6 linked regions of the Canis lupus familiaris genome follow. The protein of the gene in region 1 interacts with the protein of each later gene in a pairwise test. Links are inferred from orthologs where the notes say so. Each region holds a gene or a part of one and is shown in the gene's direction. Other genes may lie near its edges. The genes, in order: TRIM2, UBAC1, LRRC8E, TNIK, CIB3 and UBE2K.

What was found.
Region 2: the proteins of TRIM2 (region 1) and UBAC1 interact in binary tests that used the Homo sapiens proteins (3 or more experiments, as listed by UniProt). The link is inferred for Canis lupus familiaris from reciprocal best matches to the Homo sapiens genes TRIM2 and UBAC1.
Region 3: the proteins of TRIM2 (region 1) and LRRC8E interact in binary tests that used the Homo sapiens proteins (3 or more experiments, as listed by UniProt). The two-hybrid records come from large-scale screens. The link is inferred for Canis lupus familiaris from reciprocal best matches to the Homo sapiens genes TRIM2 and LRRC8E.
Region 4: the proteins of TRIM2 (region 1) and TNIK interact in a two-hybrid assay, tested with the Homo sapiens proteins (2 studies listed by BioGRID and IntAct). The link is inferred for Canis lupus familiaris from reciprocal best matches to the Homo sapiens genes TRIM2 and TNIK.
Region 5: the proteins of TRIM2 (region 1) and CIB3 interact in binary tests that used the Homo sapiens proteins (3 or more experiments, as listed by UniProt). The two-hybrid records come from large-scale screens. The link is inferred for Canis lupus familiaris from reciprocal best matches to the Homo sapiens genes TRIM2 and CIB3.
Region 6: the proteins of TRIM2 (region 1) and UBE2K interact in binary tests that used the Homo sapiens proteins (3 or more experiments, as listed by UniProt). The link is inferred for Canis lupus familiaris from reciprocal best matches to the Homo sapiens genes TRIM2 and UBE2K.

The regions. Positions count from the first base shown.
Region 1 is NC_049236.1:51,380,465-51,384,593, forward strand, and holds the start of TRIM2 (tripartite motif-containing protein 2), read left to right. Parts: upstream 1-1,329; 5' UTR 1,330-1,435; coding exon 1,436-1,465; intron 1,466-4,129. UniProt on the Homo sapiens protein: UBE2D1-dependent E3 ubiquitin-protein ligase that mediates the ubiquitination of NEFL and of phosphorylated BCL2L11. Plays a neuroprotective function. May play a role in neuronal rapid ischemic tolerance.
Region 2 is NC_049230.1:49,436,398-49,439,897, forward strand, and holds part of UBAC1 (ubiquitin-associated domain-containing protein 1), read left to right. Parts: intron 1-11; coding exon 12-114; intron 115-380; coding exon 381-489; intron 490-1,114; coding exon 1,115-1,355; intron 1,356-3,500.
Region 3 is NC_049241.1:52,998,626-53,001,168, forward strand, and holds the end of LRRC8E (volume-regulated anion channel subunit LRRC8E), read left to right. Parts: coding exon 1-1,023; 3' UTR 1,024-2,043; downstream 2,044-2,543. UniProt on the Homo sapiens protein: Non-essential component of the volume-regulated anion channel (VRAC, also named VSOAC channel), an anion channel required to maintain a constant cell volume in response to extracellular or intracellular osmotic changes.
Region 4 is NC_049255.1:36,054,484-36,058,663, reverse strand, and holds the start of TNIK (TRAF2 and NCK-interacting protein kinase), read left to right. Parts: upstream 1-1,380; 5' UTR 1,381-1,507; coding exon 1,508-1,564; intron 1,565-4,180. UniProt on the Homo sapiens protein: Serine/threonine kinase that acts as an essential activator of the Wnt signaling pathway. Recruited to promoters of Wnt target genes and required to activate their expression. May act by phosphorylating TCF4/TCF7L2.
Region 5 is NC_049241.1:46,726,623-46,729,619, forward strand, and holds the end of CIB3 (calcium and integrin-binding family member 3), read left to right. Parts: intron 1-65; coding exon 66-213; intron 214-1,072; coding exon 1,073-1,268; intron 1,269-2,475; coding exon 2,476-2,497; downstream 2,498-2,997. UniProt on the Homo sapiens protein: Acts a an auxiliary subunit of the sensory mechanoelectrical transduction (MET) channel in hair cells. Plays a role in regulating hair cell MET channel localization and function.
Region 6 is NC_049224.1:73,349,853-73,353,788, reverse strand, and holds the start of UBE2K (ubiquitin-conjugating enzyme E2 K), read left to right. Parts: upstream 1-1,136; 5' UTR 1,137-1,369; coding exon 1,370-1,432; intron 1,433-3,936. UniProt on the Homo sapiens protein: Accepts ubiquitin from the E1 complex and catalyzes its covalent attachment to other proteins. In vitro, in the presence or in the absence of BRCA1-BARD1 E3 ubiquitin-protein ligase complex, catalyzes the synthesis of 'Lys-48'-linked polyubiquitin chains.

The DNA.
Region 1 (4,129 bases):
TTAAATAAGAGAATCATGATGCTTTAGAGGAAAACTAGACCTTTTCTAGAAGGTCTGTTCTTTAAAGTCAAGAGCCATGGCAGTCCAGATACAACAGCTCTTTTGGAATCGTTAGAAGAGGAGAATAAGAAGCTGCTTCATACGTTATTTGGAAGGGCCACCGGAGGAGTCTTCCTTTAATAGGAGTTAAATACCAGTGACAGAATCATAACATTTTAAAAACTGACATAGATTAGAAAGGACAGTGCCTTTTGATTATGATTTTTATGATCAAAGTCAGAAGGGCTTCACAGAGCATTTGTGGAAAATAAGTATATGTCAACATTTTTCTGTTTCTTTGCTAGTTAATTTTGATAGCTACTCTGCTCCCCTATGTAAATAATGAGACTGCTCCAAATTGTAATGACTGTACTTTTCTCAAAGTTTGTATGACTATAATTCATGCAATGCCACAAATCAGCCAAATAACTCTTAACTTTATTTTTACTTCAGTGTATCATTTAGAAATCATATACAGAAAAAAAAAACCACAGTTTATTTTCTTGTTCTTGGTTATTATCATAGGGTATTGAAAGGTTAAGCTGGCATAGTAGCTTTAAAAGCAGAATTTAGTTAAGATCAAGAGAGAGAAAAAAAAGCCATGGCTATCCCGTCTTCTTCTTCCAAACATACTGAACTAACTTCTGCTTTGTGTGTATACGTATGATCAGATAAAGTGAGTATCTAAAAAATGAATGTGAACCATTTATATTTGGGGGCAAAAATAAGCCCCTTTCTCTGGGTTCTGAAGACATACCAATCAAATCCAACGTTTTCTCTGTGGAGGTAGTGAATGCTTCTCATCAGACACTTTATTCTTTTTTTTTTCAGACACTTTATTCAACAAAATAAGCATGTCATAAAAGCAGCTTCCTTGGACTTTGTTCTTTGATTGAAAAACTGCTATCTACCTAAATAAATAGTACACTTATTGACCCCAGAAGAGTGAAGATGACTAGTGCAACACCAATGTTTGGGACTTTAAACATATGTATTATTATGTGTGAGGCATACAAACTTTTCCTTGAAATTGGTCTGCCCACAGTGATTAAACTTTTCAGCTTGGACTCCTTTCATGCTGCTGGGCTATAAAGATGAGAACTTGGCCCTTCCTATCTGGGTGTCTCCCTCGGGCTCTCGGTCTGGTCTCCCCGTCTCCCCGACTTCAGAATGAAACATAATATCTTAAGCTAACAGAGCCCAAAGAGGCTGATCATTGGCTCCCATTGTCCCCTGATACTGCAGCCCCGCCCCTTTGGCTTGTGCTGACAAGCTGTTTATATTTTTGTAAGGGCCACCCTTTAACTCAGCAGCCTGATGACTATAATGGGCCCAATTGTCTGTGGGCTGCAGAGAGCTGAGTCCCCACATCCGAGGAGGCTGGGGCCAGTCTCTGATGCACCAGAGTGGCCGTTATGGAACACGGGTAAGGACGATTCTGAGGACGTGATGATGCTTTTTACGGGCTAGCTGGTTAATCCTGGGCACCAGTTAGGAGAAACAAGTTGTGATTGAATTGCTAGCTTTTTCTCGGTTTTAAATTGTGTTGCCTGCTAGCAACGGGAGGAGACGATCGCTTCTCTGGGAAGTGCTGACAAAGCTCATAGTGATCCTGGCCAACCCAGGCAAGAAATGGGCAGGGAAGCAAAAAACTAGGGGAGGCACGCAAGTGGGTTTGATGTCAAAGCAACATGGGAGAGGCAGAGCACACGGCTGCTTCAGGGATGTTGTGAGGCTCAGAGGCTGTTTTGTTTTCGGACTTAAGTGTTCACAGTCAGGAGTTTGGCTCTGCCTCTGTGGGGTTTCTGTAAGCCGGCTGTTAACCGATGTAACTCGGTCGACCCTGTTTGAAGGGGTCTGGTATCTGCTGGTATTTCCAAAGGGCAAGCCATAGGAGTCTTGTATGTCATAAATAGTTCTATTCAGAAATGTGGGAACGGTTTGGAGCTGGCCGGCTGTAAAGTTTTACTGCCCATAAAAGTGCTCAAAGGGTACTCTGGCCGGCTGCAGTGGGGCTCAGGAATGAAGGAAGGGCCCCAGGCGATGAGGGCATTTGTCCTTGACTAACCGAGGAGGAAGTCTGTGGAGCCAGAGGACACCATGTGATTGGGGGTGAAACCTGAAATGGGCTTGGCCTGCCCACCTGGGGTTCTTTCTGGTTTCTGCCTTGTAAGTAAGCGAGAGAGGGTGGAAGAGGGCTCGGGCACCAGTCCCCGCTGCCTGAGTGCAGTATCCCCGCTGCCCTATTTGGTGCTAAGACCCCCTTCGTGGTGCAGAGGGGCGCTGCAGGCTAGGGCGGGGGCGCAATGTGTTTGGGGCCATAAGGGCGGGGGGTGAGGGGGTGGGGGGGGGTTGGCACAGCTAGAGCCCCAGGAATGAATTGCTTTGGGACTGACTGCTTCCGGCTAAACGGAAAAGCACCGCCGGCAGCTTTGATCGGAGACTTTTGTGCCCTCCTTTCTGATGCGCCACCGCTCGGTGTGAAGTCAGTGAACTCCCCCTTGGGGGTTCGGTTCGAGCAGGAAGAGAACCTGAGAAAGGGAAGAGGTGGAGTTTAACTTTTACAGAAACTCAAAGTGACCCGTGAGACTAAGACATGTGATGCTTTATGTATTTCGCTGCCTGTCCTAACCCCCAGAATTTGTATTTATTATCTGGATGTACCACGTTTGAAGCCAACCTGTTTGGGGGCTCCTGGAGGAATTAAGTCAGATGCAGAAGTTGTTCTTAATGAATTTGATCCAGAGCAACCTGAGTGTTTCGGCTCAGTGTACGAATATAGCAGGTGGTCTCTAAGTGAAGCTGTGGTCTCCTGCAGGGCCTGAGGTCCTGGGAGGGGGGCACGAGTGGCCACAGTCTTGTGCAAGGACAGAACTTCTGACTCTGCTGGTGCTGTGGCAGGTGGCGCGGAGGCTCAGCAGGCACAGGACGGGGTGCCCCAGCCAGCCTCCTGCCTCAGGCCTCACACACCCTAACCCTGGCCTCCTTCGGATCTGTGTATCCTCCATTCCCGCTGGACAAGCACCCCCAGATGGCAAGACGGCACAATGACAGAGGACAAAGGAGAGGGCTGATGAGAGAGGAGATGGCGTGAATTCCAGGAGACCCCCCCAAGGCACAAAGACAGCGCTTGTCCTGCTTCTTCTTCTTCTTCTTCTTCTTCTTCTTCTTCTTCTTCTTCTTCTTTGTCTTTTTGTGGGGTTGGGGAAGTATGGTTTATGCTGCTTAAGTTAGAATCTTTTATTTTATTTTTAAATTTTTATATATTTATTCATGAGAGACGCACATAGAGACGCAGAGACACAGGCAGAGGGAGAAGCAGGCTCCTTGTAGAGAGCCCGACATGGGACTCGATCCCGGGTCTCCAGGATCACACCCTGAGCCAAAGGCAGACGCTCAACCAGTGAGCCACCCAGGTGTCCCAAGTTGGAATCTTTTAATTTTAATTTTATTTATTTATTTGAAAGAGAATGAGAGAGAAAGCACGAACGGGGGGAGGGAGAGGGAGAAAAAGACTCCCTGCTGAGCAGGGTGATGTGGGGCTCGATCCCAGGACCCTGGGATCTTGATTGGAGCCAAAGGCAGACATTTAACCGACTGAGCCACCCAGGTACCTCTTTTCTAGCTGCTTTTATCAGAATGGTGGGCATGCCAGGTTCTTAGAATTTCAGATACAGAATTTATATGACCTAATGCTAACATAAGAGATTTACAATAACAAGGTTCTTCTAGAGCTTTAAAATACCGAGGGCTGTTCTCATGGGCCCACGGAGTCAAACAAACAAGCATGTACGGCGAAATACATGGTAAATGTCAATGATAATAACAACAACAATTTATTGAGCACTTACTATGTGCCAGGACTTTATCTCACTGGGTCCTCACTACATAAAGTAAGGATAGTTATTGTCCTCACTTAACAGAGAGGGGACCTGGGGCAGAGAGGTTAAGTAACTTGCCCAAAGTCACATGGCCCGTAAGCGACCGACATGTGAGTCACCGGGAAGATGTATAGTACATAACCATGTGTTATGAACTGAGGATTTCCTGTGGAGTACAGCTGGCATTTATACTTACGGTTTTTCAAGAA
Region 2 (3,500 bases), on another chromosome or scaffold:
TTTCCCTGCAGTTCCAGACAGAACTCCGGAGAATCCTGGTGTCTCTCATTGAGGTGGCTCAGAAGTTGTTAGCGCTGAACCCAGATGCCGTTGAATTGTTCAAGAAGGCAAATGGTACGAGCAGGCTCCAGGTTGACTGGGTCCTGTGTCCAGACTCCACTGCTTGCCTGGCCTCAGAGGCTGTATCAGTGGCCCACGGGCCCAGCGTCAGTCCTTTCTGTGGATGTGGACTCCTGTTCAGCATGCCGGGTGAAGGTTCTGTGTAGATTTGCTGAAGTTTAGGGAGTTTGGCACACAGGTGGGGTCCTTGGGCTCCATGGTGGGGGGGTAGCCCTCACGCTGGCCTGGCCCTCACAGGTGGCCCTGTCTCTTGCCCTCAGCGATGCTGGACGAGGAGGAGGATGGGAGAGTGGACGAGGCTGCCCTGCGGCAACTCACGGAGATGGGCTTCCCGGAGAGCAGGGCCGCCAAGGCCCTCCGGCTGAATCAGTACGTCTGGGCCACTTCCTCCCCTTGGTGCTGATGCTTGGCAGCCCCCCCAGGGTGATGTCCTTGGTCTCCTACTTTTAGATTGAACCATTTTTAATAGAGACTTTAAACATACGTCCCAGAAGTAGCTGGGACATCTCGAAGTGTCTTAAGACAGTGGAGACGGACTGGCCTTTGCTCGAAATGTGCTGGGGGCAGGCTGTCCTGTGGGTCCTCCCTGGGCTGTCATGTGCAAGCACCATGTTGAAGCCTGTGCCTGGCAGGGACATGGTGGCTGAAGGTGTGTGCAGTGTCCCCCTCAGCAGCCTCTCGTGCTTGCCTGGCCGAAGCCACTTGCTTCTGCATCTGCACTTATACCCAACATAAGTGACTTCTGACCCAGAAGACGGTCCATGCGCTGTGCTGCTCTTTGCCATGGAGCTAGGCCCTTAACATATACCTCACAGGCGGGTTCCCCATGCTCTGACCAGGGTCTTGGGGCGGTTTGGGGCAGGGCCTGGAGCTTCAGACCCTTCTGTACTGAGATTCTCACGATGAGGGGCACCAGAGAGGCTGTCCCTGGGGCTGTCAAGGAGGCCCTCTAACCGGCTGGGGGTGCTGGAAGGAGTCTCCCGTTGCCTTTCAGCATGTCGGTACCTCAGGCCATGGAGTGGTTAATAGAGCACGCGGAAGACCCGACCATTGACTCGCCTCTTCCGGGCCAGGCCTCACCGGGAGGGGCGCGGGCTGAGGCCGCTCCTGAGGCCGCTCCCGAGGCTGCCCCCGAGGCTGCAGGGACTAGCACGGAAGATGAGGAGCCCAGAGATGAGCTAACGGAGATCTTCAAGAAGATCCGGAGGAAAAGGGAGTTTCGACCTGATGCTCGGGTATGTGTTCTGCAGCCCTGGGGCAGCCGGGTGGGGTTGTGGTTTCTCTGTGGCGCTACACCAAGTGGAAGGAGCTAGAACCAGCCCTGGCCCTGGAGAGAGTAAAGCTGGGTGAGGGGCTTACAGACTGGCCCACATTCAGTTTTAAGTTGTCCTCACAGATCCAGGTGGCTGTTTTTCCTCCGAATAATTGGCTGACATATTTGCCATCTCCTGAAAACTCCTAGTAGGATGCCGGCCACATTGCCACACTGTTGGCGAGCCGTGGGCATGGGTGGAGACACCCTAGAGATCGGGAGATAGGGTGCACAGGATTGCCTGTGCGTGGGGAGGCTGGTCAGGCTCTGGCCATCTGGTGACCGTGGTGTCTGCAGCATCCGGGGACCTGGGGTTGGCCAGCTCTGGCTGTGTTTGGGTGGCTGACATTGCTGTACCATATCTGGTTGCCCCTTTTCCATTACTTCACTCCTGATGCTTCCGTGGCTGCGTGTTCTCCACTGTTCTGTTCTTCTCCTAGACTCCTGGTTTCCTCTTCGATGTTTTCTCTGTTCTGAGCCTGCGGTTTTCTTTCAGGTTATAGATCAGTGAGCTCTAGGCGTTAGACCTGAGTCCACCCGGTCTTGTGATTCTGCTTGGGGCACAGTGCTGTCAGAGTGGCTCACTGTAGACTTGTGTTTCTGTGGGAATCCCATGTGGCTGGGCTGTGGGATGCCTGCTGTGGGTGATTCTGAGGCCGTTTCCATGGGCTGAGTGGCATGTCCCTCTGGGGCCAGGTTTCCCATTAATCACACAGGCAGGACTCCTAGGCCACACGCGTAGTATAAGCCATGGCTTTGGGGTTGGCGCTTCCCTGCACAGGGGCCAGTGCTCCTCTAGCTCCTCTTCCCTCTGGGGGTGTACACCCTTGGCAGGGTCCTGCTTCTGAGCTCCAGGTCCTCATCTCATAGGGACCCAAGGCCCACATCCTGTCTGGGTGTGGCCGCTAGACCCCAGCCCGTAGGCCCTGCTGGTGGCTGCTGCTCCCTCCCAGGGCACACCATTTGTCAGGCCAAGTTGCTGTTCCTTGCTCTCTGGTGAGCTCAGCAGTGCCATCTGGAAGTGTCCTGCTTAGCGGTACCTGCTGGGTCCTGGGCTTCCCAACTGAGGGTGCTCCCATGTCGTCATCAGCCCTGTCACCACCTCGGTGGTGTCCATGTGCTCTCTTCGCAGACATGCACTCAGGCCGGGCCTTACACCGTGGCCTCTTTGTGGTACAGGTTCTGTGACGATTGTTATGGAAGGCTGTTGAGGCTGGGCCAGTGTGGCACACTCTCCCACCCTTTGGTCCTACACCGTTGGAGAGAAGAGTCCATAAGGACTGGAGTGTTAGTGTGGCTCCCGGGAAGCCTGGATCGGAGAGCAGGGCTTGCACTTGAGACAACAGACTTTGCTGTTATCCCCACCCCCAACACCTGCACCCCCATGCCAGTGCCTGCTGTGGGCGGGCAGCGAAGTGCAGTGGGCAGGGCAGTGAGTGCGCAGACTCCTGGCAGGATAGTGCGGGTGCATCCTTGCGGTCACTGTGCAGAAGTCCTGGGGCATCGCTTCCCCAGGCTGAGGTAGAAGTGAGTGACACAAGAGGCTAGTTTTTACTGATGTTCATGGAAAGACCACCCTATCCTTGGATTTAGTGGGAGGTTCTGGACTTTTTCTGTGACTTAGAGGTCAGGCTCTGGTGTGGTGGGTCCTCCCGACATTCATGGGTGGAGCCCCCAGCCCTGGGGTTACAAGCCGGTTCAGGAAAGCACGTGACATGGGTCGTAGTAGAAATGCTGCCTTGTGAGCTCACCGAACCCCGTTTGGCTCCAGTGAAGCGTCTGTCCTGACTGCCACCTGCCGCTGACTTCCTTCCTGCCGAGTGCTCCTTGGGACGTCCAGTTCAGGCTGAGCAGGGCCGCAGGGGTGTGGGCCCGGGGGCTCTGCGGGTCACTGCCAGCACTGACCCTTAGGCGCCTCAAAGAAGTAGAGCAGTTCAGCAGGCAGGCAGGAAGAAGACAGGCACCTTTGATCTTTTTTTTTTTTTTTTTTTCAAGAGGAACCCTTTTAAAGATTATATAAGTCAAGAGTAGGGGTGCCTGTCTGGGTGGCTCAGGCAATTAAGCATTT
Region 3 (2,543 bases), on another chromosome or scaffold:
TCGCAGCTGGTGCACCTGCAGGAGCTCAGCCTGCTCCACTCGCCTGCCAGGCTGCCCTTCTCGCTGCAGATCTTCCTGCGGGACCGCCTGAAGGTCATCTGCGTCAAGTGCGAGGAGCTCCGCGACGTGCCCCTGTGGGTGTTTGGGCTGCGTGGCCTGGAGGAGCTGCACCTCGAGGGGCTCTTCCCCCCGGAGCTGGCTCGGGCAGCGGCCCTAGAGAGCCTCCGGGAGCTGAAGCAGCTCAAGGCGCTGTCTCTGCGGAGCAATGCCAGCAAGGTGCCGGCCAGCGTGACTGACGTGGCCGGGCACCTGCAGCGGCTTAGTCTGCACAACGACGGGGCCCGCCTGCTGGCCCTGAACAGCCTTAAGAAGCTGGCGGCACTGCGGGAGCTGGAGCTGGTGGCCTGCGGGCTGGAGCGCATCCCCCATGCCATCTTCAGCCTGGGCGCGCTGCAGGAACTTGACCTCAGGGACAACCACCTGCGGTCCATTGAAGAGATCCTCAGCTTCCAGCACTGTCGCAAGCTGGTCACGCTCAAGCTGTGGCACAACCAGATCGCTTACGTCCCTGAGCACGTGCGCAAGCTCCGGGGCCTGGAGCAGCTCTACCTCAGCCACAACAAGCTGGAGACCCTGCCCACCCAGCTCGGCATGTGCTCCGGCCTCCGCCTGCTGGACATCTCCCACAATGGGCTACGCTCCCTGCCGCCCGAGCTGGGCCTCCTCCAGAACCTGCAGCACCTGGCTCTGTCCTACAATGCCCTGGAGGCCCTGCCTGATGAGCTCTTCTTCTGCCGGAAGCTGCGGACGTTGCTTCTGGGCTACAACCACCTGAGCCAGCTCTCGTCCCAGGTGGGGGCCCTCAGAGCCCTCAGCCGCCTGGAGCTCAAGGGCAACCGCTTGGAGGCACTACCAGAAGAGCTTGGCAACTGTGTGGGGCTCAAGAAAGTGGGGATCCTCGTAGAAGACACCCTTTACGAGGGCCTGCCGGCAGAGGTGCGGGAGAAACTGGAGGAGGAATGAAGCAAAGGTGGGGAAGGCTGGGTAGAGGCCTTCTGGATGCTTCCACTGCAGAATCTCTACTACTGTCTTCAAGAGAGGTGGCCAAGAGGGCCCAGGCCAGGAGAGAAGGAGCAGACGCATCAGCCACCATGGGTTCCAGGCAAGATCCTGGGACTGGTTTGTCTGAGAAGAGATGAGAGGCTGTGGATTTGGGGTGGAACGTCGTAGAGGGATTAACTCAGTCATAGGATTCTCAGACCCAAACCACACCTGCGTCTTTGGCTGGCTGTCCTGCCCACACCCTGGACATTCTGGCCTAGTTAGTGCCATATATGGGGTTGGGGCACATCCCAATGGGATTTCAGCCCTTTCCCCCACCCCTCAAAACACCTTATAGCTGGTGTTCTCTCCCAAGGAGGGGACACAGACACAAGGGACTAATGAGTGACCCTTGCCCCCAACTTTGATGCCAAATCCTTATTTATAAGTTGTTTGCTATGGACACGCAAAATCAGAAAAATGGTTCTCGTGTTTGGCTATGCATCAAAATCAACATCCCCAAAACAAAACATCCTGGGCCCCACCCCTGAAAGACTGACTCAGGTCTGGCTGGAGGCCAGGAACCTGCCTGCAAATACACATCCCAGGTAATTCTGATGCAGGTGGTCCTAGACCTGTGTGTTGGGAATTGCGGACCTACAGAATCTGCAAGTCCAGAGCAGGGATTCTGAACCCTTTCTAAGTCCTACACCTTTTGAACATCTGAGAAAAGCTGGGTGTTTCCTTTCCCAGGAAAATGCTCAGGTACACATACATGCAAAGTTCCGCAAGCAACTTTAGGCAGTCAGCAAATTCCCCCAGATTTCCCAGAGGGCCATTCACGGACATCCTAAGGATGGCAGACTCCAGTGTTAAGAATGCCTGCCGAGGAGGTTAAATTTTTCTGAGCAGAGGCAGGGATTTTGTCTTTCCAGTGTTTCCTGTGTGAGAGAGCATCTACCAGTGGGTGCTTAATAAATAATCTGAATTATGAGAACTAAACTTCCGATCTCTGGTATCCACTCCTGTTTGTCTAAGCCTTCCATTTCGCCAGACCAATAACAGGCAAGCAATGACACTCACATGGCGGAATCAAGGGTATGAGTTTCTGTCCTGGAAGCAGAGGCAGGAGAGACCTCGGCTTATCAGGCATCATCTGCGTAGCTATTTTTTGGAGAACTCTCTTTCTTCTCCATTCCTTATTATTCTCCGGACTCCACACTCTCGCATCTGTTCCACCCGCAAATTGTCACCACGGGAGTCCCCACAAGCCTTCCGCGCCCGCCAGTGTTCCCGTGCTGGACCAGGAGCAGGAAGGGCATAGGGCACAGCCTGCCTGACCTGGACCTCCCGGGCCTGGACACCTCAAGGAGTCTGAAAAAATGCGAGCCTCTTCCTCGCAACTGAGAGCAGACGCAAGCTGCTTTCCGAAATCCAGGATCCCAGATGGGGGCATTTTCCCGGGCGCCCACAGACCAGTTGAGCCGCGAGGAGACCAGGCT
Region 4 (4,180 bases), on another chromosome or scaffold:
GGGCTCCCGCGTCCCTTCCTTCCTGCGCGGGGGGCCCGGGGGAAGTGACCTCATACTTTTGGTTGGGGAAGGTCATGCTTACCACTGTCCACGCTCAGCCTTTCCAGGAGCCAGCGGGGGGCGGGGCGGGGCGGGGGGTGGGGGTGAGCTCGCCCTCCTGCCGTGCATTTTGCACACACACCTCCCAGCACCCGCCAAACTTTCTCCGCCCGCCCCAGGAGCTCAGCGGCGGAAATGCTGCCCCCAGGGCCGACGTGCGCCGCCCCACCCGCTGTCGCCCTTGGAGGGGTACCTGACGCTGCGGCACCCGGGGGAAGGGAGAGAAAAAAAAAAAAAGCAAAAAAAAAAAAAAAAAAAAAAGAAGCTGCTCGTTTCGCTTCGGTCGTTTCCGTGGGGAACTGCGGTACGGGCAGGTCCTGGGTGTGGCGGTGCCAACAGGGAACTCCGATCTGCGTTTCTCCCGCTCCGGGGTAACCTTCCCAGCCCCCGACCCGCGGGTGGCCGGTCCCGGATGCCCCCTGCCGGGCTCCCGGGGGTCGCTGGGCGCCCCCCCCCGCCGCGGCGCAGCGCTGGAGCGCAGGGTGCCCGTGCGCTTCGCCCCCATTCGTTCCGCGCCTGGAGGCGGATCCCCTTCCCTGCACACAAGTCCTTATATGCACCGGTTGCACCAGCCCGTGCTACTCCAGCCTCACAAATAACTAATGGGGGGAGGGCGGCCGTCGCTCTTCCCCCCCCCCGCACCCCACCGCCCTCCCCGGGATGTGCAAAGCGCGGAGCATCGCACCCTGCCGAGAGCCCCCCGCCCCCGCCCCCGGTGCGAGGAGGGCCATTGTGCTGCAGCGCACGACTCGGACGCGCACGAATAAAGGCCCTTGGCCCCCGCGACAGGCCCGGCGGGGTCGGGGACCGCTCTCCAGACCCCGCGGGGGGCGCCCGGGCCGAGAGGGCGCGCCCCGCCCCGCGCGCTGGTGCAGAGGGCCCGGGTCAGGAAGCGCGGCCTCTCCCGGGCGGAGGCCCCGCCCCGCCCCGCCCCGCCCCGCCCCGCCCCCGCCCCCCGCCTCACTCCTCCCAGGAAGCGCTGATGGACAGCTCGGGGCGCTCGTCCGCCCCCACCCCCCGGCGGAGTGGAGGAGTTGATGTGTCTCATTATAACCGCCGATGCAGCCGCCATCCACGCACAGGCAGGGAAGCATGTCCCATTTAAATACACCCACGCAGCCCCTGCGCCCTTAGCCGAGCGGGGCGCGCAGCCCACACGCACCGCGGCTCGGGGCTGGGAGAGCCGCGCAGCTCGGGCTCCGGGTCCGCGGCCGCCCGCGGGCGCAGCAGCGGGATCGGGCGTCGCGGGGCCGGGCCGGGCCGGGCCGGGCCGGGGCGGGCGCGGGGGCTGGGCCGGGGCCTCTGGCGCGGCAGCCGCATGAGGACGCGAGGCCGGTAGACCAGGTGGAGTCTGCAAGGGGGGAGCCTCGGGGGGGCGCAGGGCCGCTGCTCCCGCGAAGAAGTCGACATGGCGAGCGACTCCCCGGCTCGCAGCCTGGATGAGATCGATCTCTCGGCGCTGAGGGTGAGCAGAACCGGCTTCTCGGGGGGTCTCGGGGGGTCTCGCCGGGGGCTAGGGGCGGCGCGCGGGCGGGGGCAAGGCGGATGCGCGGCGGCGGCGGGGGGGACCCCGGCTTCCCGTCCCCGCCCCGGGCGAGCCTCGGCTCCGTGACCCCCGCGGCGGCGGCCGGGCTCCCCGGGATGCGGGGCATTCACCTTACCCCGGCGCCCGAGCCTTGAACGTGGAATGCTCGTGTGCGCGCGCGCGTGTGTGCGCTGTGCACACGCGCCCCGGACGGCCAGCTCGTGCAAGGCGCGACGCCCCACCGTCCCCCCTCCCCCCCCCCCCTTTTTTTTTCTTTTTTTGCAAAACGTGGAGAAACGCACCGGCCGCTCACTTTGCGCAGCTCGCTGCGGGGTGACCGGGGCAGCCCGACGGCCCCGACCCCGCGACGCCGGTGCCCGTCGGTGGCCGCCGCCCCCAGGCTCCCCCCGCGCCCTCCCGCGCCCGCCTCGCGCACCCCTGTTTACGGTGTAACTTAGCCCTGCTTGCTTTTTTTTTTCTTTTTTTTTTGACTTTGTGGCCCTGACATTTCAGTTTTATGGGCCAACTTAAGGCAGGTGAAGGGATGTGCTCTCCGCGCTCCCCCGCTCAGACCGGAACTCCCGTGAGTGTGCGCGTGTGCGCGTGTGCCCGCGGCCAGCCCTTTGTAGGGAGAGTAGGGGGAGCATCCAGCTCCTCCGGCCCCGCGGCTGGCTTTGCGTTTCCCTTCACGTGAATCGCCCCAGACGCCCTTTTTTTTTTTTTTTTTTTTTTTTCATTGTATGGACTGAGACATCACTTGCCATAGGATCCATTTTGCTGTTGTTCTGAGCTCCGGATCCCGGGAACCCCAGTGTAGCCTCGACGACGCCCCACCCCCACCCCCGGATCCCAACACGCTCTTTCGGGGGAAGGGGGCCGAGACTTCTTGCCATTTTAATGAGATGCTGCCTCCCGAAGAGGGGGACAGGGAGGGTCTGATGCTGCAGCCAGTGGGGGGGGGGGGTCTGAGATGGATCGCACCCCAGTTAAGGATGGCTTCTTCCTCCCCCTGAACGAAGACTAGGAATTAAAGGGGGGAAAGCGACTGCATGTGTATCCTGGCAGCGCGGAGGGTCGGGGCCCGCCTCGCCGGTGCTGTCCACGCAGCCGCGCAGGAGGGGTGCAGCCGCGAAGTTCACACGCCCTCCTGAGGCTTACATGGTTACACTGATGCTAAATCTCGGGGTTACAGACCTGAATCTTCACCCCTCCTCCTGCCACTGCCCCTTCCCTCACGGGTATCTTGAAGAGCTGCCTTGAACCGTCCAAGTGCTACTTTTTCTTGCGGCTCATTAAAGCCTCCCTCCCTTGCACAGCCTCCTCTTGTGGAACTTCCCCTCCTCTTCTGCTTCATCCTTCCCAGAGGTGAGGTTTCTGCGAGGCAGTCCAGGGGTTGAGAAGGAACATAGATGCCATTTGAAATGGCCTCTTTTTTTTTTTTTTTTTTTGGATAGTTGGGCAGCAAAAGCTCATTCATGTGATATTACAGTAAGCTGTCTATTCGCCTGGTGCAGAAATGCCACATTCAGAAGCCGCAGCTCCCTGGGCAGCTGGGGGTGGGGGCTGGTAACAGGGTGGGTGCTTTGGCTAAGTCTGTGGTTTCCTGCCTTACAGGCTGTGTGTGTTCATTTGCCCTACTTTCTGTGCTGGGAGTTGCTGCCAGCGGGTTAATCAGGTGGATGGATGGCCCAGACTACAGGGTAGGGGAAAGTGGCGAAGCCCCGCAGGGGGTGGGGTGGGGGGTAGGGGAAGGAGCCTGAACAATGGGCAAGGCTTGTGGTTTTCTCCTGAGCAGAATGTCCTCATCCTCCTCTAATAGAAAGCAATCCGAGGCGATTTTTAAGTTGGCCTCGGTCAGAGGTGTCCCCCGTTGGCTTTTTCACGGGGAAGGTTTCCTGAGATCCGGAGCCCAGAGCCTGCAGGCTGGTGAGCAACCACGAGGGCTCACCGGGCCTGCCTGAGTGTGAATCACACACGGGAGGCCTGTGCTCCAGAGATCTGTATTTTGAAAAGAGATCTTGCAGGATTCACTGAAATTGCTCTTTGTCGCCTGGGCTTAGTGCTTTGCCTCTGTATTTCTGCCTGCAGGAGGTGTGTGAAGAGGGAGGGCGAAGGCCAGCTCTAGAGATAGGAACTGCTGGCTGGCTGGAAGACCTAAATGCAGATGTGGAGACGATTGCATCCCCGGTGCCGGAGAGTATGACCAGTCTTGTAGGGGGTGAGGTGTGCAGGCGGGCCATTGAGTCCAAGGGCCCTGTTGGTGATCTCCACAAATCCGAGAGCAGATAATGTCTCTCTGTCTTTCCAAATTAGGAGAGGTGGGTTTATCCAGATGAGAGGTCTCATTAGTTCCTAACCCCTCAGGAAAGCCCGCCTGCTGAGAGCCTCGTGGGGAATGCCTGACCCCTGAAATGCAGCCAAGGTCAGTGGCATCTTGGAGAATTTGCTGCAGCCTTAACCAGTCCCTTGCTGTCTCGGTGGCTCTTTAATGTACACAATCAATGCTCTTTTGTAAACCCTGAGCTCAATGCATTAAAAGCAGATCCTGTCTGGAGA
Region 5 (2,997 bases), on another chromosome or scaffold:
GAAGGTGGGTGCTGAGAGTGATCCCATATGGTGCCCTGAGTCCCCTCCCTGCTTCTTGTCCCCAGGACAACCCGTTCCGCCAGAGGATTGCCCAGGTGTTCTCTGAGGATGGGGACGGCCACATGACCTTGGACAACTTCCTGGACATGTTTTCCGTAATGAGTGAAATGGCTCCCCGCGACCTCAAAGCCTACTATGCTTTTAAAATTTATGGTGTGTGCAGAGCTCGGGGGTAGGGGAACATGGGGGTGGGGTGGGGGTGGGAACAAGACCAGGTGTGGGGCCAGGAGCTGCCCTGCAGTCACAGATGTCTCCCCAGGGGGCTTTGAGGCCCCGCATGGACTTGTCCTGCGCCCCATATTGCTACTTGCTGACCTCATCCCCTTACTCCTTTCCAGCCACATTGGCCTCTCTCTTCCTCCAGCTCCCCAAACTCCTCCTCCCTCTAGGACTTTGCATCTGCTGTTCCCTCTGCCTGGAACAGCTCTGCCTTGACTCCTGCTTACCTTGAAGTCTAGGTCAAAAGCAGCTTCCACCTTCAACCACTCTACACCCCACATCCTATTTCCTCTCCCAGCATGGAGCAGTGCTGCTTCATTCCTCTTCATACTGATTTCTCTCTGATGAAACCCAAGGGCAGCAAGAGTATCTATTTTTGTCCCCATCTGTCTTCCGTGCCTGGGAAAAAGTAGGCATTCAATATTGTGTGACTAACTGACAGAAAATTTATCACAGCACCTAGCATTCAGTAGGTGCTCACTAAAAGCTTGTCAAATGAACAAAACTTTATCACGGTGCCTAGAACATCGTAGGCACTCACTAAATACTTGTAGATTAAAAACAGTCACATATGCCCGGCACATAGTAGGTCCTCAGTAAATACTTATGGGGGGAATGAATGACCTCCCAGCAGGACTCTGCCCAATTCTAAAGCAAGATCCAGCTATTACCCCAGGGTCTTGGGCTCCTTCCGGTGCCTCAGTTTCCTCCTCTGCAACAAGGGGACAAGAGGCCCGGCCTGTCTACCCCCAGCTGTGCCCCCACTCCACATCCCCTCTATCCCACTGCACAGACTTTAACAATGACGGCTACATCTGTGCATGGGACCTGGAGCAGACAGTGACCAAGCTGACACGAGGGGAGCTGAGCGCTGAGGAGGTGAGCCTGGTGTGCGAGAAGGTGCTAGATGAGGCCGATGGGGACCACGATGGGCGGCTCTCCCTGGAAGACTTCCAGAACATGATCCTGCGGGCACCCGACTTCCTCAGGTGTGACACTCCTCGCCACTTTGCACAATCCATTTCCATGTCTGAGAGGGGCTCCTGCAGAACTAGTGTGCGGACTCCACTTGTGAAAGCTCCTCCATTCATTCATTTGTGACTATAGGGAACTTTCCCAGCCTCCCTGGCCTCAGTCCCTGCATCTTTAAAGTGGGGATAATTGGGGGCCCCATGAGCACCCCCTGTGGGTGGACACAGCTCTTTAGGCAAATGGAACATGGCTGGTCTTCAGCCCTCTCTTGCCTGAACATTTTGCAGTGAACAGAGTGGGCAACTGTGTTTGGCAGTCCTGGGAGGAATCAGAGCCCTCACCGGAGGGCTGATAGCAAGTTAATGGGGGTGGCCAGCCACCTATTTTTGTACCTCGCGGGAGCTAAGAATGACTTTTACATTTTGTAAATGGTGGGGGAAAGGTTAGAGACTAATAGTACTCCACGACACATGAAATGGATATGAAATTCAAATTTCCATGTCCATCAACAGTTTCACTGGGACACAGCCATGCCTGCTTATGTATGTACTGGCCACGGCTGCTTTTGAGCTACAAGGCTCAACTGAGTCATTGCACAAAGCTGGAAATATCAACCATTTGGCTCTTTGCAGGAACAGCTGGCTGACCCCCGAGTTAGTACATGGGAAGACTTTAGGGCAGTGCGTGGCACACAGTAGGTGCTCAGTATCTGTGTGCCGGGGTTGCTGTCGTGGCTATAATTACGGGTGGTGTCCTTATGTGCACGGAGGTCCCCCCATCCTCTACCTGAAGGAGCCCGCTGGTCTCTTAGCTGACAGAGACAGGAATAATGACAATTGAATGAGCCCTATCGCTGATAGCAGCTCTGTGCGACAGCACCCTGTGCCTTTGCCCCTTTCGCCCTCATTACAGCCCCATGTAGGAGGGACGGCTATTATCCTTCGTTTACAGAGGAGTAGACTGAAGCCCAGGGCGGGGTAGCCACTCACTTAGAGTCCCACAGCAAGTCTGGGGCGGAGCCGGAAGGTCAACTCCCATCCAAAGAGGTGTGCTTTCCGCCCCTGTGGGAGTCAGGGGAGCCACCGCCTGGGGTTCTTAAGCGGACCCATCTCCCCTTAGTAGCTCCTTGCCTGTGTCAGGGACTCCCCTTGGGAGAGTTCAGGAGGAGGACGAGCCAGGGCCAAGCTCTGCCTCATGACGGACTCTATTTCTCTTTGCACACAGCACCTTCCACATCCGCATCTGAGAGCACCGTGGGCGAGAAGCTGGGTCAGAGGAGGACCGGGTGACCCCTCACTCCACTGTGGAATCCGGTCTCCGTGGGTTCTGGGAATAAACGCACATCACTGAGTCACATCTGCTTGGAAGGCATGTTTTTCACCTTAAACCTGCCGGATGAGAGAGAGGATGCCTGGGATCTCACCTCTGCCCTCACTGTGTGACCCTGGGTGTGGCTGCGCCCTCTGTGAGCCATGATCTCCCCAATTATACAAGGAAGTGGCTGATTTCTAGATCTTTGTCCACCATGAGGCCTGGAAGTGCCCCGGTAGCTGTTAGTTTAGGTGGGCAGAGACCAGATGTAGAGATCTGGCCGAAGAGATCTCACCCCAGGGCCTCCCAAGGCTGAGCCCTACCCCCAACCTCCTGAGTTCCCTCTCCCCCCAACAATCCTTGAGTTCCTCAAGGGGACCAAAGCTTTAACTCCTTTCTCATTCATTAGAACTGCCAGAGGAGGCCTCTGAGGGG
Region 6 (3,936 bases), on another chromosome or scaffold:
AAAATATGTATTTATTTATTTTATTTCTCCATTTTCCACTTTAACATACAAACTATTTTCACATGTTTTAGTTTAGTGGTGCTGGTAGTGTGGTCCCTGAACCAGCAGCAAGAGCAGCAGCATTTGAGAACTTGTTAGAGAAGCAAATTATTAGGTCCACCCCACACTCTAGGGATGGGGTCTAGCAACCTGTTTTTGTTTTGTTTCGTTTTTTTAAACAAACTCTTGAGGGATTCTGATGTAGATTCAATGTTAAAAACTTAAAAAAAAAATGTCACTAGTGTCAAGGTTAAGAAACCCTGTTCTCTTTTTTTTAATTTTTAAAAAAATTTTATTTATTTATGATAGTCACAGAGAGAGAGAGAGAGAGGCAGAGACACAGGCAGAGGGAGAAGCAGGCTCCATGCAGGGAGCCCGATGTGGGACTCGATCCCAGGACCCCGGGATCATGACCCGAACCCAAGGCAGCCGCTCAACTGCTGAGCCACCCAGGGTGCCCCCAAGGTTAAAAACTCTTACACCTCGGTACTGATGATCTAAGTAGCTCAAAGATCAACATCTGACTTCGAAATCTACCTCAGGCATCTACATGGAGTTACCTGTTTCAAATACACCTGATGCGACCCAACAATGACCACTTTGAATTCAGCGACGTGGAGTATCTGGAACAATCGCGTTAGTAGTGGCACTTTAATGGCTTCAGAACAAAAACGGACCGCCGTGGGATTTTTCTGGGCCTACACCGACAGAAAATGGGCCGGATGAGTTCTGGAATGGTGTTTTCGTGCCCTCGACCCAGTCAGGCGCAGCAAGCCCGGGGGTCCTGGGTCTGGCTGGGTCAGGACGGCGCTCGCAGCCGACCGGGGCCGCGAGAACCCGCTAGCTCGCGCCCAGCCCTCCGTCAGAGGCCGCGGGTGGGAAGCCTCGGCCGCACCACAGCGATTTGGAGAGGGGCGGAGGCACCCGAGAGGACCCGGGAGGCCCGCGCAGGGCCGGCCAGCGCGGAAGCCGCACCCTCCTGGCCTCAGACGCCGGCAGGGCGGAGCCACGCGGCCGCAGCTCCGGCAGAGACGCGCGGCGCAGCGCGGCGCGGGCTCGCGTTTGAGGCGTATGGGGCTACAACGGGAGCGGCTGCGCCGCCCGGCCGGGTCAGCGTCTTGCGCATGCGCGGACCCGGCGCCATTTTGGTGGCCGGGCGCGGAGGTGATTCCACACTGAGGAGAGCGCGGCGGCCGGGTGGCAGTGGCAGCGTTCGTGTGCTCGGGTGTGAGTCGCCGAGGGAGGAGGCGCTGGTGGAAGAGGTGGCGGCGGTGGCGGTGGTCGTAGCGGTGGCGGAGGAGGCGGGTACGAATCAGCTGCGGGCGGAGACATGGCCAACATCGCGGTGCAGCGAATCAAGCGGGAGTTCAAGGAGGTGCTGAAGAGCGAGGAGGTCAGAAATGAACTCCCAGACATGCCCCCACCCCAGCCCTGGGCGGGAGGGTGCTCCCAGCGGCGACCCCGGCCCCCCGGTAACCCCTGGGTGGCCCTCTTGGCGGCCGCCCTTTCTGCCTGTGGGGAAGCAGCAGTCTCCCCCCTGCTTCCGTCGCCCTCCCCTCCCCTCCCCGGGCCCTGGGATGGACAGTCTCGCGGGCGGGCGGTCTGGAGAGGAGCACGGTTTGGGGGGCAGATGGAGAAGGGGGCGCCTCCTGGAGGGGTGTGAGCTCTAGAGAGAGCCCGAGGCCGTGGCAACAGCTGGAAGTGTGGATGTAGGGTGGGGAGGGAGCAGGCCGGGCCTGAGAAAACCCGGGAAGTGGGTTGGGGGAAGGGGAAAGGTGGTAACTGGATCCCGAGAGCCGCGCCGCTCCGAGGCCCGCACTTTTGAGGGTTTTCTACGTTACAGCCTCTTTGGCCTCCACTGTCCTTTTCTTTTGGGAAGGAGCGGTAAAAAGACCTTAGGTACTGATGAAAGAAGGACGTTTCAGAGTTACTCCCTCCTTAGTTCGGTGTTGGGAGAGAAGAGGAGACGTAATGGGATACTATTCTATTGGAGTGGGGAATGAGGGAATTTTCACCTGAGGTAGGGAATTAATTCCAAAATAGATCATTATCTCATTTTTCCCGACTTCCCCCCCCCCCACAACCCTTCCTTCACCCCACCCCCAATTCCTAGGCCTCTTTTCTGTTGACATCTAAAGCTTTTTGATTGGGTCGAAGGCATGTTGTTTGGTGTATTAAAGGCATTTAGATATTTTTCGATAGGAAAAAATAATGGAGGGTAAAGAGTAGCTTATTTCAAAATATTGTTTACAAGTTACAGGTCAGAGTCTCTCCTAAGACAATGCCTCTGTGACTGTTGTGTTATGCCATGAAACTTCATTATGATGTCTCTCATAGTTAACTTGATTCTTACTTTTGAAAAACCAGCCCTATTAAAAACATGGGATTTCCCCCGGATTAATATATTATTATACCTCCTTATTGAGTAGGTTTGTATCATAATTGAAATTATTGGAAACACTTTTTTTTTGTCTCAAGCTGCTCTTGAGTCCTGCAGAATTTAAATACTCTGCTGTTTGCCATATTTACTTATATAGTATATTCAGAATATTCTAGTGATTTGACTCAAAACTGTACAAGGATCAGTACAATTTTTTATACCCACAACAACAAGAATGCCAAGTTTTTCCTCCTTGGATTTAACAAAGAGAGAGATGAAAAAGTAATACTGAAATAGTTATTATTTTCAAGATGTCACATACCATTATTGGATGTATCATTACTATTTGTATTTTTCTTTTATGTTGGAGCGTTGATAATCTCAATGATTTGTGAAATTCAGCATTCTAATGAGTAATTGACATAAGTGGCAATACTTGAGCTTTATTTATGTCACTGATTCTACAGTAATCATTTCTCCAATTAGACATGGAGAATATAATTCTTTAAGATTAACTTAAAATAACAAATACTAGCGATTTACTAATGTAGTAGTCTATAAGAAATGATCTGTTTTACAGAGCATGTGTATGAACTCTGACCTCTGTATTTGTTCAAGAGCCAAAACTCTGAATGGAAGGATGACTTTGTATTTTTGTGGTACAATGCAGAAATAGGATCATAAATGTCTGTACTGATATACAGTGAAACAATGATTCTAACTTTTTATTCGCAAGAAAATATGTTCCAGGATAGTCGACATATATATAATCCTATGAAATATTCAGCTAATACTGTTGCCAACAGCCTAAAACATTTCTTCTGTTAATAAAGTTGTACAAGCCTGAGACTTAATATGACTTCTTTCTAGTGCTTTATTTTCTATTAAAAATGGTAAGTTACTGCTCTCAATTCATATGGTCTCTTTGCTTCGTATGAGGTGACTTTCACTATATTTTTAGTACTTCAATTAAAGCTTAAAAGAAATCTTGTATCAACTCTAGTATGCATATTGTTAAAACAATACTGCTCTGTAAGGGATGTTGAAGTCTTGCTTCAAGTAAGCATTATGGTATTTCAGAGAAAGAGAATAGGAAATGCTAATAAATTGTTTTAAGAAGAGTACCTTTATAAACCTGGAAGGAAATTTCTTCTAGAAAATAAATTGCAGAGTACATTTAGGAAAGGGTCAGATAATTTAATCTTGGATTATAACCAATAAATAGCTTTATTTTCATCGATATTTTAGTAGGTCCAGTTTTATAAGTGGATTGTGTTGATTATTTTCAGCTCATTGAATGACTTGTAGTAGAGTCCACGTGTTTTCCTTTTTAAGTGTGGAAATGTAGTATTTTGAGTGTCTGGTCAAGTAATTAAGTATTTCATCATATCATCTACATAAATCTCTAGGTTTCCCAAAGTTTGTTTCATATGGTCTTGTTTACTAAGAATACTGATTGGTTTAAGGAATTTTTTTTTTTTTTTGTCTTTTGTTTTCTAAAGATAGCTGATGTTTGC